Arabidopsis thaliana: one gene and its partners. The protein of the gene in region 2 interacts with the protein of the main gene of each other region in a pairwise test. Each region holds a gene or a part of one and is shown on either strand. Other genes may lie near its edges.

Region 1 (5,754 bases), on a different chromosome or scaffold from region 2:
GGAAAATTCGCAATTTTCGCCTTTCAAGCACGAGCCATGGACAAAGAACTTGCACAGTATCCTACAAAAAAGAAATCAAATGAATCATCGTCCCCAGAAACGAAAGAATCAATCTTTATCACCAATCAAAGAGACACAAAATTGAAGAGTTTGATGAATCGAGAAGTTGGGGGATTACGATACCTATCGGACATTTGGGGATTTGTGCGGAGAGAAGAAAAAAAAGGGTGGAAGAATGGAGAAGGAAGAGAGAGCTTTATGTGAAGAAATTGAATTTGTACGGTTTTCAATTGTTGAGGACCAAGCAGACCCCAACGTTTTTGAGATAGAGCGCGCTTCCTCCACCTCCACCACCACCTCTCTCTTTCATTTACTAAAATATCCTTTCTCTTTTCTTTTTGGCCAATTTTGTTTTATGGGGTGTGATTGGTTATGTTTATGGAAATTCGATCAGTTTTATGTGATACATAAGAAAATTCTTTGAAGCCTTCTTGGTGGAATGGAATCAAACAAGTTTTAAAACACACTTGTTACACAAAAACCACAAATCATCATACGATTCAAGTGTTACACGAGACTACTACATAATAATACAACAACACACGATACAAGACCGTCTCTCTCTCTCTCACTTTCGTCTTTTATGTACATAATATTACAAACAACAAATCAAGCATACATTCTCTCTCACACATACAAATCCTCCAAATTCACAAACTCTGTGGCACTCAAACCTACCAGACAAGTTTAAATGCTGTATCTTTCTTAATCATGTCTCACACAAACTCCACCTTCACGAGAAGCTTAACGGATTTGTACTTCTCTCCTTTCCGGCTATGTAAAGGAAATGCTCTTATTCCTTCGCTTAGCTCCCAAACCGGTAAGCATGTCTGTCCTCCAAAATCATCTTTCTCTGACATGTCATACTCATGCACTTCTAATCGTAGCAGGGCCAGCTCTGGAACGGTTAATGGGAACTCAAACACCTCATCCCAAGCTGGTATCCAATTATCCTCCAGTGTTTTCGTCTTCTTCATTACTGTATCCCCTGGAACTCCAGCTATCCCAACCTGAATATGCATCAAAAGCTCAAATTGTTATATTGCAAGCATAAGAGACAAGAAACAGTTCTATCTCAAAACATTTGTGTGAGGTTTAAGGCAGGGAATCAAAAATTGACCCTTGTATAGAAGTCAGGCGGTGAATATTGGTCAAAGTGTGTGTGGCGGAAATCAAAGTACCAGCCTTCTCCCATGTATACAGTTACCTAAGGGAAAGAATAAGTTCACTGAGTTTGATCGGATTTGAATTGGTAAAAGAAAGACCAACCAGAGAATCAGATATCTCACCCTAAGTGTTGTTTTCACAGGTAGAGTAGCTTTTGGGTCAAATATGTCACTATCCGAACCACTTTTCAGCAGAAGGTCAGGTTTCTTGATGTAGCCACATCCGCCATTGGCTCTAAACATTCCCTGCATTAGCCACAATGATCTTCCATACCCCTGTACATGGAAAAAGATCACAATCAAATCAGCTGAGGAATAAGGTTGATGTCCTGTAAAATGATGGAACATAGCTCCTCCAAAATAACTAGAAGTTTTACTACTACGTAGAAAGAAGTTGGTAATATAGCAGAAGGAGATACCTGCATATTGAAAGCCACCATTTGAGCACCGTGGCTCCAGCCAACCAACGGGTTGTAATTTGATGATGTGACTCTAGTTCCTTTTGGGTATATCCTCAGCAAATTGTGCTGAGTAAACCTGCGCCACACCATGATTAACAGGATTCATATTGAGTTGACAAACTGCAACTATTACTTAGAAACATAAAAACATAATATGACTATACCTCACAATCTGCTTCGCATATTTTTCTGCTGCCTTTTCAAGTTGTTCTTCGCTTAAGCTAAGGCGTCTAACCTTGTCAGGATCTACCTTTAAACACTCAGTAATTCCGCCTTTTGGTTTCCCAGCATGGATTGCAATCAAATGTTTATACTGGGGTGGTGCATTAATCTTAGACTTGTCTTCATCATCATCATCGTCATCATCATCATTTCCATCTAAGTCATCCTGCAACAAGAAAGAAAACTAACATGTTTGTCCATGAACAGCAACAGAACAGAATGAAAATGATTTGTCTTCGTACACACCTTAGCTTCACTTTTGTTCCTCTGAATAAAGCTCGGAACTTCTCTTCCCCAAACTTCTTCATCCCCCAAGTCTTTACCTTTCTGCACCACTTCCACATCTTTTCCTTCCTTGTACTCTTTTGGGGGTTTGGTTGAGATGATAATACGTCTTTTTAAAGAGTTTGGCGATGGGAACTCCTTCAAAGATTCTCCCACAGGAGGAGTAAACAGAATTTCCCCAAATATCTCAGTAACCATCTATCATACAACAAGAAAACACATCTCAAAACCAATGTACTCATCTATTAAAGCAGCAAAGAAAGAAATGCAAAATAAAAAGCTACCTCAGCAACTTTAGACTGAAGATCTGGAGTAAGATGATCTTCAAGAGTTACAACAACAGGATAGTCAGATACATCAAAGGCATGTGCTCTGATAGCTTTGAGACATTTGATCAACCCCACAGGTGTAGTGAGAGTCCTGTTTAAGAATGGTTCAGTAAACAAGTTAAACGCCAAGCACCTAACCTTGACTTGTTTTTCGAAATAAATTTGAAGCAAAATTATACATTCCGTGAAGAACATCAATATCGTCTTTGTTGGAATTGGGCCATATATCCAATTCAATGACTCTAACACCTTTCTTCAACGCATCAATAATAGGTACCTCACTACAGTCACTGCTCAGCTGATTACCAGTCAGATAAGAATTATGACCAGTGAATATGAAATAATGCGATATAGGAGCATCCATGTCATGATGCACCTGAAACACCACAAATTCATTAGAGATAAGTCTATAATCAATCTGAAAATAAAAGCTAGCACAATTGAGTCACAATTACATGTATAGCCGGAATTGTAAAAATATTAATTACTTGTATCATGGATTTTTGTGTCAGAGTTCCTAATAGAGTAAATGTCACATTCCTAGATATGTTACTTTCTCAACTTTTTTTTTTTTTTTGAGACATAAAAAGAAAAACAATTCTATTGCTTCAAATTCTTGAATCAGACTTATTCCACAACACCTAAAAAGTACATAGCTCCTACGACTTTCTACCAAACAGCAGCTTCGAAGTTCGAACTCTTGATTAGACTCAGTGAAACATTCAAACAAATTATTCCAAAAATCTCACTTCCTCACACCATTTCCTCAATTACCAAACAAGGAAAACGAAAAATCCCAATCCAAAATCTGAGTTTCTTATATCAATCAATCATAGTTTACTTCAGATTCTGAACTCATAAAATCGAAATAACACGAAAATTACCTTATGGAGAGCAAGAGGAGGGTTATTATCACCAAAGAGGTACTTGAAGAAAGCATCAAGATGGAGACCATTACGATGAAGAAGAGAAGATGCAGAATTGATAATTGACTGTGCATCTTCTCTGGTGGCTTTATCTTGTTTCTGAACATCGATCAGAAACCTGTGGAGATGATCAACGGTCATAACTCCATTCTCTGAGTACTTTTCGAAAATGGTCTTGATCTCACGCGGTGCCTCCGATGCAGTGTAACGAAACCTCCGGCGAAAGCAGAAACACACTTTGTACGTTTGCTTCGACATGAAGTAAAGAAAAAGACGGATCTTTGGGTAATGATTGGAGACGATGATGAAGGAATGAAGTAGGGTTTGTGTGTTATATAATCAGAACTATCTTCTCATTGTTTTTGAAATCAGACAAGCGAGATCAGAATCGTCGTTTTGCGTGTCGCATCTGCAAAGACAAAGAGATTTTTTTCCTTTCTTTCTAGTGAATCTCCTCCATGTAATGTTTAATCGATCTTGAACCTTGTCGGAAAAAGATCTTCTTTCTCTCTCTGTGCGAATATCCCCTCTGGCAAATTCTTATCCATTTGGGTTTTATTGGGCTTTTGAAATAATAAAGCCCATTAAGTTAGTTACTAGGGTTTTGTTGTTGTTTAAAGGAGGAATAAGAGCGTAAGCTACAAAATCTTTCTATTCATCTCCGCCGCTCCTCATCCTGTAAAGCTAAACAAATAATCAGAGGAACGAAGGAGACAGCTTCTGCGAAATCAGCATGAGAGCCAAGGTTAGTAATGGGTTTTGATTGTTTAATGGATTTTTTAGTGATGAGAAATTGAAGTAGTGTGTAGGATCTTTATGGTTTGTGTGTTTGTGTGTTGCAGTGGAAGAAGAAGCGTATGAGGAGATTGAAGAGGAAGAGACGAAAGATGAGACAGCGATCTAAGTAGATTCGGGAGTTTGTTTTGTCTTTCTTCTTTTTAGAACCAACTCTTATGTGAGTTTTGTTGGTTTTGCAATTTTCAATTTGAATGTTTTGTTGGACCAAATCGAATCTATGTTTTCTATTAGAATTATGTTTATTACATGGAATGATCCTTATGAGTTACTGATTCTCCTTAAAGTTCTTCAATCTGCTTATCATTTTGGTTTAATTGATTATCTATAGTTAGTGTCTGCGCTGGATGAGTTTTATCCTGGTGAAGGTTGAACTTTTGATATTAGAAATACCAAGTGAATTTGTATGTCATCTAAGTATACTAATAAAAACAAAGTATGTTGGGTTGATTGAATCTTTCTATCCAGAACGTTTTCTTAGTAATGTAGCAGAAATGTGTGTTTACGGAGGGATGCAATTTTTAGTTCATGATGTTCAGATGACTATTGGTACTTAGGTTTTTATGTGTACATGTGAAATAAACCTACCCTAAGATTTCATTATTATTTCATGAAAATGAGATTCACGTTGCATCTATGTCTTTCTGATGCTGATGAATGATGATGATTGTTCTGAGGTCAACCAAATTCTCATGAAGGATTTATTTAGTCCTTCTCGATATTAATTGTTTCATATATGAATAACAACAAGGTGAAACTGATCAACGGTTTAATAAATCGAAAGTCGAATGGAATGAAATGCTGAAGGAAAGTACAACTACAAAACTCATATGAGTAAGAGAGTTGAGTATATATACTCAAAAATGGCTTTTGACAAAAAGTTAAAAAAAAATTACTCACCTAAACCCAACAGAATATTACAACGAAAGGAGGTTATTATCCACATTATTCCCAGACAAATTCTGGTCAGACATATAAGCTAGCTAGCAGATGAACACCGCCCTAGCAAATTGGGCCGACTCTATGCGCTACTGATACTTTTCCAAATGCGGATATTAAAGCATAAGCTGGTCTGCTTTAGTAGCCGCCCATCGGTGGCATTCCATATGGTGGCATGGGAGGCATTCCTGGCATACCGCCCATTTGTGGTGGAGGACCATACCCACCACCACCTCCCATTCCTGGCATCGGTGGTGCAGGTAAAGCAAGTGGCAACATTTGGGCATACATGTTCTGTTTAAAAACAAAAGAAAAACATATTACTCCTTTAAGTGTATCTGTCAAGATAAAGAGTCGGATGATATCCAGTGTAGCTGTGTCATAAGTAGTACCTGTTGGGATATGACATCCTTCTCTTCCTGCTCTTTGGCCTTCACCTCTTTTTGTGCCTCAAGCTTGTCCTTTATTAGCTCATCCACTTTGCCAGAGTACTCTCGGATAAACTGCAAAGAAAAAACGACAGGAAGAAGAGAATTCATCATAGCGTTCAAATAATGGTTCCAACCTCATT
Region 2 (5,914 bases):
AGGTGGGCCAAAATAATGACAAAGAAATTAGAAAGGCGAAAAAGGAAAGAAATCAAAAGTATAGGGACTTATCATAAATAATGTAACAACACAACCTCATCAGGGCAAGTGTGTGGATTCACCTATTTCAGGCATTTGTTACTTGTTGCAAGTTTCTCTTCGTATCACTATCTCATGTTGTTTCGTTTTGACATATTTATACAATAATTTCTTTATATGCGAATCATTAAATATCATTATCATTAAAGTTCAAATTTAGGTAGGGAGATATCAAATATCAAATTTCATCTTATGGTGAAATACTGTTTTCATTAAGATGGATTTCTTTAGAGAAGAAGACAAAAGAGGAAAGAGGATGAAGCTATTTTAGAGTGCATCAGTCCTCTAGCCTGTCACTGGTAGTCCTACTACATTACATCAATGTTCTCCAATTTGTTTTATAAAATATAAATTATTTTTTTACACATAATAAAATTAGAAAATTATTGAATGTAAACCCAAGTCGATTTTGGTCAATTCATCGTCCATGTACAATATGCAGATGTTTCTTTTTAAAAATCTTTATATATAACTTCTATGTAAATTTTTTTTTACCCCTTCTGTACCATTTGCTCTTATCATAGTTTAGCTTACCGTTTAACCAATCCATTTTAATAGAAATAATAGATCTATCATGCCGGTAAAAATTACCAAAAAATATTGGGTTTAGTTGTTAACTAAGGCCCTGTTTGTTTGATCAGTTAGCATTTGCATTCTAATGATCCATTTACATGATTCATTTGAATGGTTTATTTGAATATGTTTGTTTGATTATTTGATATTTTTTCTAAATGATGCATTTAAATGAATATTTTTTTATTTGATTATTTTGTAATTCATCCACATTTTCATTTAGATAAAAATAACTAAAATACTCATGCTTTCACTTTGACAAATGAAAGTATTTTACGGTTTTGGCGGGAAAAATGATTCTACGGTTTTGGCGGGAAAACAAAATTTTGCGGTTTTAGCGGGAAAACAAAATTTTGCAGTTTTAGCGGGAAAACATAATTTTGCGGTTTTGGCGGGAAAACATGATTTTACGGTTTTGACGGAAAAACATGATTTTGCGGTTTTGACGGGAAAAATAATTTTACGGTTTTGGCGGGAAAACATGATTTTACGGTTTTGGCGGGAAAACATGATTTTGCGGTTTTGGCGGAAAAAATAATTTTACGGTTTTCGCGGGAAAACAAAATTTTGCGGTTTTGGCGGGAAAGTATGAATTTAACGTTTTGGCGAGAAAAATGATTTTATGGTTTTTGCGGAGAAAATGAATTTACAATTTTGACGTAAAATAATAGTCCGCGATTTCATGATTCTTAGAATGTTTTTTTGGTTTAATATGTAATTAAAATTTTTATATTAAATTAGAAAGTTATAGAAAATTAACATTATTAAAAGAGGGTATATTTGTCATTTGTTGTTTTTGAGTAAACCATCTCCATTCAAATGGTCCTATCAAGTCTATCCAAATGAGTTTCATAATTTTGCTTAATTTTTAAAAATCATTGAGATGGATCATCCAACTGATTCATCCAAATGGTCTCTTAAATTGTCAAAAGCAAACATCATTTTTCATCTCCATCTAAATAATCCATCTGGATGAAGAAACAAACAGGCCCTAAGTATCGTAATTATATACCGCTTTTTTTTTTTTTGCGTTTTACATCTATTAAATTTTTTGTACTGTTTTAAAACTTAGTCTAATTTAGTTTTAAAATTTATATGTAATTTAGTCTAATTTAGTTTTATATCTATTAATCGGACTTATTAAGACTAAATTAGAAAAACATATATGGTTCCAAATATACAAAAAAATTGGCATTAAGAAGAACAAAAAAGACAAAGAAAAAGAGTGAGAGAGAGACTGGAGTAGACCAGCATCCACCATCCCGGGTCCGACAGTCCGTATCAGCATCCCCTGATTCACTCTCTACAAATGTCACTCTCTTGCCTCTCTCTCCCTCTCATTTAAACGTTTTTCGGCTTAAACCTTTTCTCAGCAACAAACTCATCTCCTCTGAGAGAGACTGTTTGTTTGAGAAGAAGACGAACGTAAAGACTTGTTTACTAAACCCGAGATTTCTTTCTTTCTTGTTTTCAAAATAAAAAAGCAGAGATCTCTTCTCCTTCTTCTTCTTTTTGCTTTGTTTGCTTTTGCTTTCTCTTCTTTTTCTATGTGTGTTTGTGGTCACTACCCCGAAAAAAAATAAAGTAATGCTGTCTCTCTTCTCTTCAAAATTATTGTTAACCTCTCGTAACTAAAATCTTCCATGGTAGTAGTAACAAAGAAGACCATGAAGATTCAAATTCATCTCCTTTACTCGTTCTTGTTCCTCTGTTTCTCTACTCTCACTCTATCTTCTGAGCCCAGAAACCCTGAAGGTAAAATTTGCTTCTTTTATTGTTACTTTAGTTTAAAAATTGGATCTTTTTTCTCAACTCTATAACAAAAATCCGTTTTTTTTTTTTTTTACAGTTGAGGCGTTGATAAGTATAAGGAACAATTTGCATGATCCTCATGGAGCTTTGAACAATTGGGACGAGTTTTCAGTTGATCCTTGTAGCTGGGCTATGATCACTTGCTCTCCCGACAACCTCGTCATTGGACTGTGAGCTTTCTTTTCTTCCGAGTTTGTTTTCTGCTTTTAGAGTTCATTAATGGCGACAATTTCTCTCTCTATCTCTCAATGGTAGAGGAGCGCCGAGCCAGTCTCTCTCGGGAGGTTTATCTGAGTCTATCGGAAATCTCACAAATCTCCGACAAGTGTAAGATTACGACATCCTCGGATCTTGTTTTCTATAATATAAAGTTTGTCTTTTTTGCTTGTTTCTCAATTCCAATTTTTTTGCTTTGTTTGAAGGTCATTGCAAAATAACAACATCTCCGGCAAAATTCCACCGGAGCTCGGTTTTCTACCCAAATTACAAACCTTGGATCTTTCCAACAACCGATTCTCCGGTGACATCCCTGTTTCCATCGACCAGCTAAGCAGCCTTCAATATCTGTGAGCTTAGCTTTGCTTCTCTCCTCTGTTCTTCAATCTTGTTTACAATGTAATGATGATTTGTTTTCATCGGTTCATTAATCATCTTAATAACCTCGTACGAATTGAATTTCCAATAGGAGACTCAACAACAACTCTTTGTCTGGGCCCTTCCCTGCTTCTTTGTCCCAAATTCCTCACCTCTCCTTCTTGTGAGTGTATACAGATTTGTCCTTTCACCTACTGAAGTGTTTTGTTTTTTTTTGTCTGAAATTTAAATTCTTTTGAAACTCAGGGACTTGTCTTACAACAATCTCAGTGGCCCTGTTCCTAAATTCCCAGCAAGGACTTTCAAGTATAATAAACCTTAAGTTTCAAAATTTGAAGTGATTTCACAAATTCTTGTAGTTGAAGTCAAGACTAAGTCTTGCTTCTGCTTTCCTTTTGAATTTGTAGCGTTGCTGGTAATCCTTTGATTTGTAGAAGCAACCCACCTGAGATTTGTTCTGGATCAATCAATGCAAGTCCACTTTCTGTTTCTTTGAGCTCTTCATCAGGTAAAAGTCTCGTTCTTGCAGTGTTTTCATCATTGTAATGATCCTTTCATTAATCAATACTTGAGTGTGTGTGTAGGACGCAGGTCTAATAGATTGGCAATAGCTCTTAGTGTAAGCCTTGGCTCTGTTGTTATACTAGTCCTTGCTCTCGGGTCCTTTTGTTGGTACCGAAAGAAACAAAGAAGGCTACTGATCCTTAACTTAAACGGTTCGTCGATTTGAGCTTGTTGCTTATATAACTTTGATTCAGGAAGATGTTGAGTTTTTAGTTTTGCTTTTAGCAGATAAACAAGAGGAAGGGCTTCAAGGACTTGGGAATCTAAGAAGCTTCACATTCAGAGAACTCCATGTTTATACAGATGGTTTCAGTTCCAAGAACATTCTCGGCGCTGGTGGATTCGGTAATGTGTACAGAGGCAAGCTTGGAGATGGGACAATGGTGGCAGTGAAACGGTTGAAGGATATTAATGGAACCTCAGGGGATTCACAGTTTCGTATGGAGCTAGAGATGATTAGCTTAGCTGTTCATAAGAATCTGCTTCGGTTAATTGGTTATTGCGCAACTTCTGGTGAAAGGCTTCTTGTTTACCCTTACATGCCTAATGGAAGCGTCGCCTCTAAGCTTAAATGTTAGTATAATGTCTTGAACCATCAGTCCAAATCTCATTTTCGATGAGTTTTAACCAATTTTGTTTAACTGTTGTAGCTAAACCGGCATTGGACTGGAACATGAGGAAGAGGATAGCAATTGGTGCAGCGAGAGGTTTGTTGTATCTACATGAGCAATGTGATCCCAAGATCATTCATAGAGATGTAAAGGCAGCTAATATTCTCTTAGACGAGTGCTTTGAAGCTGTTGTTGGTGACTTTGGACTCGCAAAGCTCCTTAACCATGCGGATTCTCATGTCACAACTGCGGTCCGTGGTACGGTTGGCCACATTGCACCTGAATATCTCTCCACTGGTCAGTCTTCTGAGAAAACCGATGTGTTTGGGTTCGGTATACTATTGCTCGAGCTCATAACCGGACTGAGAGCTCTTGAGTTTGGTAAAACCGTTAGCCAGAAAGGAGCTATGCTTGAATGGGTAAGAAATGACACTCAGAAGTACACTTTCTTGATTACTTCATAAGATCAACCAAATTAACATTTTCTCCGGATGCTGTTGTAACATTGGTTTAGGTGAGGAAATTACATGAAGAGATGAAAGTAGAGGAACTATTGGATCGAGAACTCGGAACTAACTACGATAAGATTGAAGTTGGAGAGATGTTGCAAGTGGCTTTGCTATGCACACAATATCTGCCAGCTCATCGTCCTAAAATGTCTGAAGTTGTTTTGATGCTTGAAGGCGATGGATTAGCCGAGAGATGGGCTGCTTCGCATAACCATTCACATTTCTACCATGCCAATATCTCTTTCAAGACAATCTCTTCTCTGTCTACTACTTCTGTCTCAAGGCTTGACGCACATTGCAATGATCCAACTTATCAAATGTTTGGATCTTCGGCTTTCGATGATGACGATGATCATCAGCCTTTAGATTCCTTTGCCATGGAACTATCCGGTCCAAGATAACACAATGAAAGAAAGATATCATTTTTACGATGGATCAAACAATCCAATGAAAAAAGCTCTACACTTTTATAATATAGACATGTATATGGTGGTGAAAATTGATGAAAAATATCTCTACAGTTTGAGATTATGTGTTCGTTATGTTGATGATGTATATATTAACTTTTAATTGTGAGTTTCTATGATTATTTTGCTTCCTTTAACATTATGATGATGACAAAGGAAGAAACTATGAGACTGATTTGTTTGAGTCTTTTCTTTTGACCAGAATCTGATTTGCTCTCTCTCACACATACTCAAAATCGTATCAAACAATTCCTGAGAATTTATCTTTTGTAGTTATCATAAGCTGCTGCTTTGTGTTTGTGGTCCTTTAAGCTTAATGTGTTGCGACTTTTGTCCAACTTTGACTCTCATGTGTCATTTTCAGTTCTCATCACAAACCAAACAAAGCTTATCCCACTCAATCGAAAACGTCGTCGTTCTGAAAAGTAACAGAAGAGAAGAAACGACAGCGTTTTGAGAAGAAGAAGACGAAAAACAGAACATATATAAAAAGCAGAAAACATTAAGACAGCTGCTTAAACAATTTGGGAGACATGGCGAATCTGTCCTCTCTTCCTTCTCCTATCTATTGTGTTTCTTTCAATCAAGATAACAGGTGAGTTCTTCTTATTTATTTGAAAATCGTTGAAGATAGCGAATTCGATTCTCTTAGTAGATTTTCGAGGAAAAGTTCTTCTCAGATAAC
Region 3 (4,184 bases), on a different chromosome or scaffold from region 2:
TTAAATTGATGGTTATGTTTAAGTGATCAATCAACAATGGAAATTTCGCTTTCTTTCAAGGCTATCAGCTATGTTTTGGGGTTTCCAAATAACTTAATCAAGAAAAATAAAACAAAAAAAAATTGATATTGTCCGATCTAATATCACACAATCTTAAATGTACAAAAAAGCTTCTAAACCCACGTCAGAATTAATATTTCTCGACACATGATCAAAGAAATAATTTTAAGAGACATAGCCTTTAGTTATAACAAAATTATAGTTTAAGAATATAAAATGTAAATCAAAAACCTATATATATGTAAAGAACATATGGGATTTTGTTTAACATTTTATATTACTTCTCTTCATCTTAAGTTTCTTTCTAATGGACTAATGGTTATGTCACATTTTGAGCTCTATTTTTTTTTTTTTTTTGAACTCCGTTAATTGTAACAAAAAAAAAACTTTCAGATTTTGTTTTATAGAAACTTAAGGCGAGACAGCTTTGTTGGGCATGTTACCTTTGATTTCTTTCCCTCCACCAATCACAAAACTAGTATATTAGATATGATCATATGAACCATTAATTTTACACAATTTTTTCAGTTGTGGTTCACTATGTCCTCACGAACGTTCAATTGTATAGTTGTAATCAGACGTATTCTACCAACACTAGATATAATATTACCAATTCAACATAAAAATAAAATATTTGGTATTAGGATGATTATATTGTTGCATAATCTAGACCGCATAAAAATGGTATTGTCAAACGTAACAAGAAATTTTGAAGCATTGATATATGTACATTTGATAACCTATAAATTTTTCCAAAATATTAGTTTCTCTCATGCTTCATGCTAAAATCATTAAATATTTTGTTGTCTAATAGCTTTCTTTTAGAATTAAAAAAAAAAAAGAATTTACTAATCCCATTGTTAAAAGTTTATACTGCAACTTGTTTGCCATTTTTATATATATATTTAGTACCGTTTCAACAGTTATTGTTTTTTCTATTTATACTATTAAGAATCTTTAGTATATAACCTTTGCTTGAATTGATAGGAGTAAAAAGTTATTGTTAAAACTACATATATAAATGTGTAATTTAGGAATGAACATGGAACCCTTCTTACACATTTGTTGGGATGTTTTGTCCATACCTCCTTGCCTTTAGAATCAAACTCATATATCATCCTACGGCCCTCCCTTACTCATCTCTCTTCAAATCAATCACCTCTCATCTCTCTACCTTAATTATGATTTTTTTTTTTAAGTTTCTACCAAGCAGTCATTTCCCCCCCCCCCCCCCCAACAATAATAATAAACTAAGTGAAACCCTAATCTTGAGTACTTATGATATGTTAAACCCTACACACATGCATATGAAAGAACTTAATCAAGAAATATAACTACATATAAAATATACAATAGATAAACATATGAGTGTGTATGTGTATATATATGTATAGCTTGGAAGATTGCTAAAAGCAATTTCTGGTGAAAGGAAGGGTACAATGACAGAGAGAATAGGGTGCAGGAGAATCTAACTCCCAAACTTAGCAATGCTTAGGTACCTTTCTTAATTACTTCTCTCTTCTTACACTCTTTCTCTCATTTCCCACTCATATACTATTTTATCTTCTTATTTCTTTTCTTATTATCCTTTTATATATAAATTTCCATATTTAATCACACATTTTTGCAGTTAACCCCTCCTTGTTCTATCTCTCATAGTCGACTCCATTTGCTCTTTCTCACTCTCAACCACTCCCACTACTCACTCTCGTTTTTTGAGAAAACCCAAATCATAAAAACCAAAAGACATTCAATATTCCTTTTCAATAATCTTTTCTTGATTTCCATTTTCATCTCAAGTTTTTTAAAAACCCACCAAGTTTTTTTTTTCGCATGGATGAGGAGATCATAACTAATCTCTGCTAGCCTCTTCTTAGGTTTTCAGAAAGTTTCGTAATTATGGGTTTCGAGAGAACATCATCATCATTATCATTATTATCATCATCATTACCATCATCATTACAACCATCAGAAAACACGAGAGCCAAGTTCAGTCTCTTCTATTTATTGCTACTCTTCTTCGTCCTCTGTGTCATTGCCACCTTCACTATAACTCCCACTTCGACTTCTTCTCCATGTAAGCCATCTTTCTTTTTCTCGTTATCATATTAATTATCAACTTTCTCAAACATTAATATCTTAGAATATTTTTGGTTACGTAACATAAATTATTACAGTACCATTCATATATTATCTTGTTGTAAAAATGCAGATAATAGGAATTCTAACTCTGGGACACTAGGGAACTTCTATGCAAAGGTTCGTAAACTGTTTATACCTCTTACTCTCTTGCGTGATCTAACAAGTAACAATTGTTTTTGTTTTTTTGCTGTTGAGTCAACAATTAGTTAGGAAATAGGAATCAAAAACCGTGTTAACTTCCTTTTTTTTGGCATAACTATAACCACATAAAATCCAAAAAAAGCTTAGTTTCTATTTTCTCCTGATTCAAGCATCTTTGGAGGACAAGATTGATGTTGATTCATCATTAAACACACTTTAAAAATAATATAAGCTTTTTTTTTTTTTTCCATAAATAATATAAGCTTATAATGCGGGGTTCTCTAAAAGGACTACACAAACAAAAGGGTTGTGGCTAAACTGCGCTTGAACAGTCAGCGACTGTGACGGCATGTCGAGACTGACTGGGCATGCAGAGATGCCATGTACTCCTAAAGAAATTCTCAGCCGTCGGATTGGTTTCAGCGCACACGAGGACAAGGACAGTACTCAACTTTTGGTTCGTTCACCACTCGTGGGACCCTGCCTTGCTTACGATCTCGATCGAGTGGTAATATTAGCCCCCACGGTGCACGTTAACGTATGACAGGCTCTTGGAACTTCTCAATCTCTCTGCCCTTTTTGGTAATGTGCGTAGCGCTTTTTCCGGAGCGGTTTTCCCGCGTCTTGTCTCACATCCCCAACCCTGTCTTAAAAATGTTTTTTACCTAAACTGCGCATTTTAACAATAATATGCGTATGTCAGCATGAAATCGCACGTTAGTAACGCAGTCCTCTCACTATCTTATGTTGATAGCAGCTGAAATTGAGTTCACTAGAAGATACTAATTATTGAACGTTAATTAGAAAATACTAATTATTCTTGATTAACCATATTGTTTGGTTTGTTTTACTAGATGTATTATCCTAATGAAGAAAATAATAAATTAGGATATGTATACGTTTGAATATATATTTAGTAATGAAAAATGTGATAATATGTACGTTTTGAGTATGTGTTCAGGAGGAAGGCAAGAGTACCGTAGTGATAAAGAAGACTAGGAAGATCGGTGACCGGAGCAAGGAGGCAGAGCTACGGAGGATTCTAAGGGGATTGGGCTCATCTCCACCACGGTGCTCCTCCAAGTGTGGAAGATGCACTCCGTGCAAGCCTGTTCACGTTCCGGTGCCTCCCGGCACGCCTGTCACCGCCGAATACTACCCGGAAGCTTGGAGATGCAAGTGCGGCAACAAGTTGTACATGCCATGATCTTTTATAATATATATACTCACATATATACATTATATATATGAATTATATGCATGTTCGTAGTTATATCTTGCCTCTACTCCAAATATTTATTATACATTGACATGTTGCTAGGACAACCTCAACGTGAAACTTTTGCTGATAAATTGATTGATGATGCTCGTATAGACGATATGACGTTCTTAGCATATGATTTCGTATATGGTGACATAATTCATGAATAATATCAACATTTGGTGTCAAAAGGAAACATATTTCTTGTCTTCTTCTTCAACGTACTTGCTTATAATGAACAAAAAATAAAAAAACGTACTCGCTTTCTAATAAGTATCACATAGGTTTAGGCTCATAAACATATGGACTAACATAAATAAACCAAAAGCCCAATAACATTACTCTTAGCATATACATATAAGTAAACTATTAACATCTGTCTGCGGGACTCGTTGATTTCATTTAAATTCTGTAGTCTCAGCTCGTTCAATTTAATCTATTCGTACACACTGATAATATTCAAGAAAACATATGCTAACGTATAACGTATTACGTATCCAAATACACCTTACACCACTCACACATAGCCCATATATAAAAGTTTGAAGGATTTAAAGTCGCAGACTCGCGGTCATTTTTT

Evidence for each region. Proteins that work in one complex are often made in the same cells at the same time.
Region 1: the proteins of SARK (region 2) and PLC2 interact in a protein complementation assay, tested with the Arabidopsis thaliana proteins (one large-scale study listed by BioGRID).
Region 3: the proteins of SARK (region 2) and CHAL interact in a protein complementation assay, tested with the Arabidopsis thaliana proteins (one large-scale study listed by BioGRID).

Annotation. Positions count from the first base shown.
Region 1 is NC_003074.8:2,581,850-2,587,603, forward strand, and holds PLC2 (phospholipase C 2), read right to left. Parts: upstream 4,050-5,754; 5' UTR 3,708-4,049; coding exon 3,408-3,707; intron 2,900-3,407; coding exon 2,703-2,899; intron 2,615-2,702; coding exon 2,479-2,614; intron 2,393-2,478; coding exon 2,156-2,392; intron 2,076-2,155; coding exon 1,852-2,075; intron 1,764-1,851; coding exon 1,646-1,763; intron 1,503-1,645; coding exon 1,350-1,502; intron 1,268-1,349; coding exon 1,181-1,267; intron 1,071-1,180; coding exon 777-1,070; 3' UTR 513-776; downstream 1-512. Other genes in the region: AT3G08505 (zinc finger (CCCH-type/C3HC4-type RING finger) family protein), read right to left, coding at 1-61, 184-194; AT3G08520 (Ribosomal protein L41 family), read left to right, coding at 4,183-4,194, 4,292-4,357; AT3G08530 (Clathrin, heavy chain), read right to left, coding at 5,322-5,477, 5,576-5,686. UniProt on the Arabidopsis thaliana protein: The production of the second messenger molecules diacylglycerol (DAG) and inositol 1,4,5-trisphosphate (IP3) is mediated by activated phosphatidylinositol-specific phospholipase C enzymes.
Region 2 is NC_003075.7:14,907,442-14,913,355, reverse strand, and holds SARK (Leucine-rich repeat protein kinase family protein), read left to right. Parts: upstream 1-1,909; 5' UTR 1,910-2,315; coding exon 2,316-2,427; intron 2,428-2,521; coding exon 2,522-2,654; intron 2,655-2,739; coding exon 2,740-2,811; intron 2,812-2,906; coding exon 2,907-3,050; intron 3,051-3,169; coding exon 3,170-3,241; intron 3,242-3,324; coding exon 3,325-3,384; intron 3,385-3,485; coding exon 3,486-3,586; intron 3,587-3,662; coding exon 3,663-3,794; intron 3,795-3,870; coding exon 3,871-4,215; intron 4,216-4,292; coding exon 4,293-4,672; intron 4,673-4,767; coding exon 4,768-5,163; 3' UTR 5,164-5,414; downstream 5,415-5,914. Other genes in the region: ATG18B (autophagy 18 B-like protein), read left to right, coding at 5,763-5,824.
Region 3 is NC_003071.7:12,939,943-12,944,126, reverse strand, and holds CHAL (allergen-like protein), read left to right. Parts: upstream 1-1,717; 5' UTR 1,718-1,937; coding exon of another isoform or gene 1,938-1,959; coding exon 1,960-2,137; intron 2,138-2,272; coding exon 2,273-2,365; intron 2,366-2,675; coding exon 2,676-2,851; intron 2,852-3,304; coding exon 3,305-3,550; 3' UTR 3,551-3,672; downstream 3,673-4,184. UniProt on the Arabidopsis thaliana protein: Acts primarily as positive regulator of inflorescence growth. Endodermal expression is sufficient for proper inflorescence architecture. Redundantly involved with EPFL4 in procambial development regulation.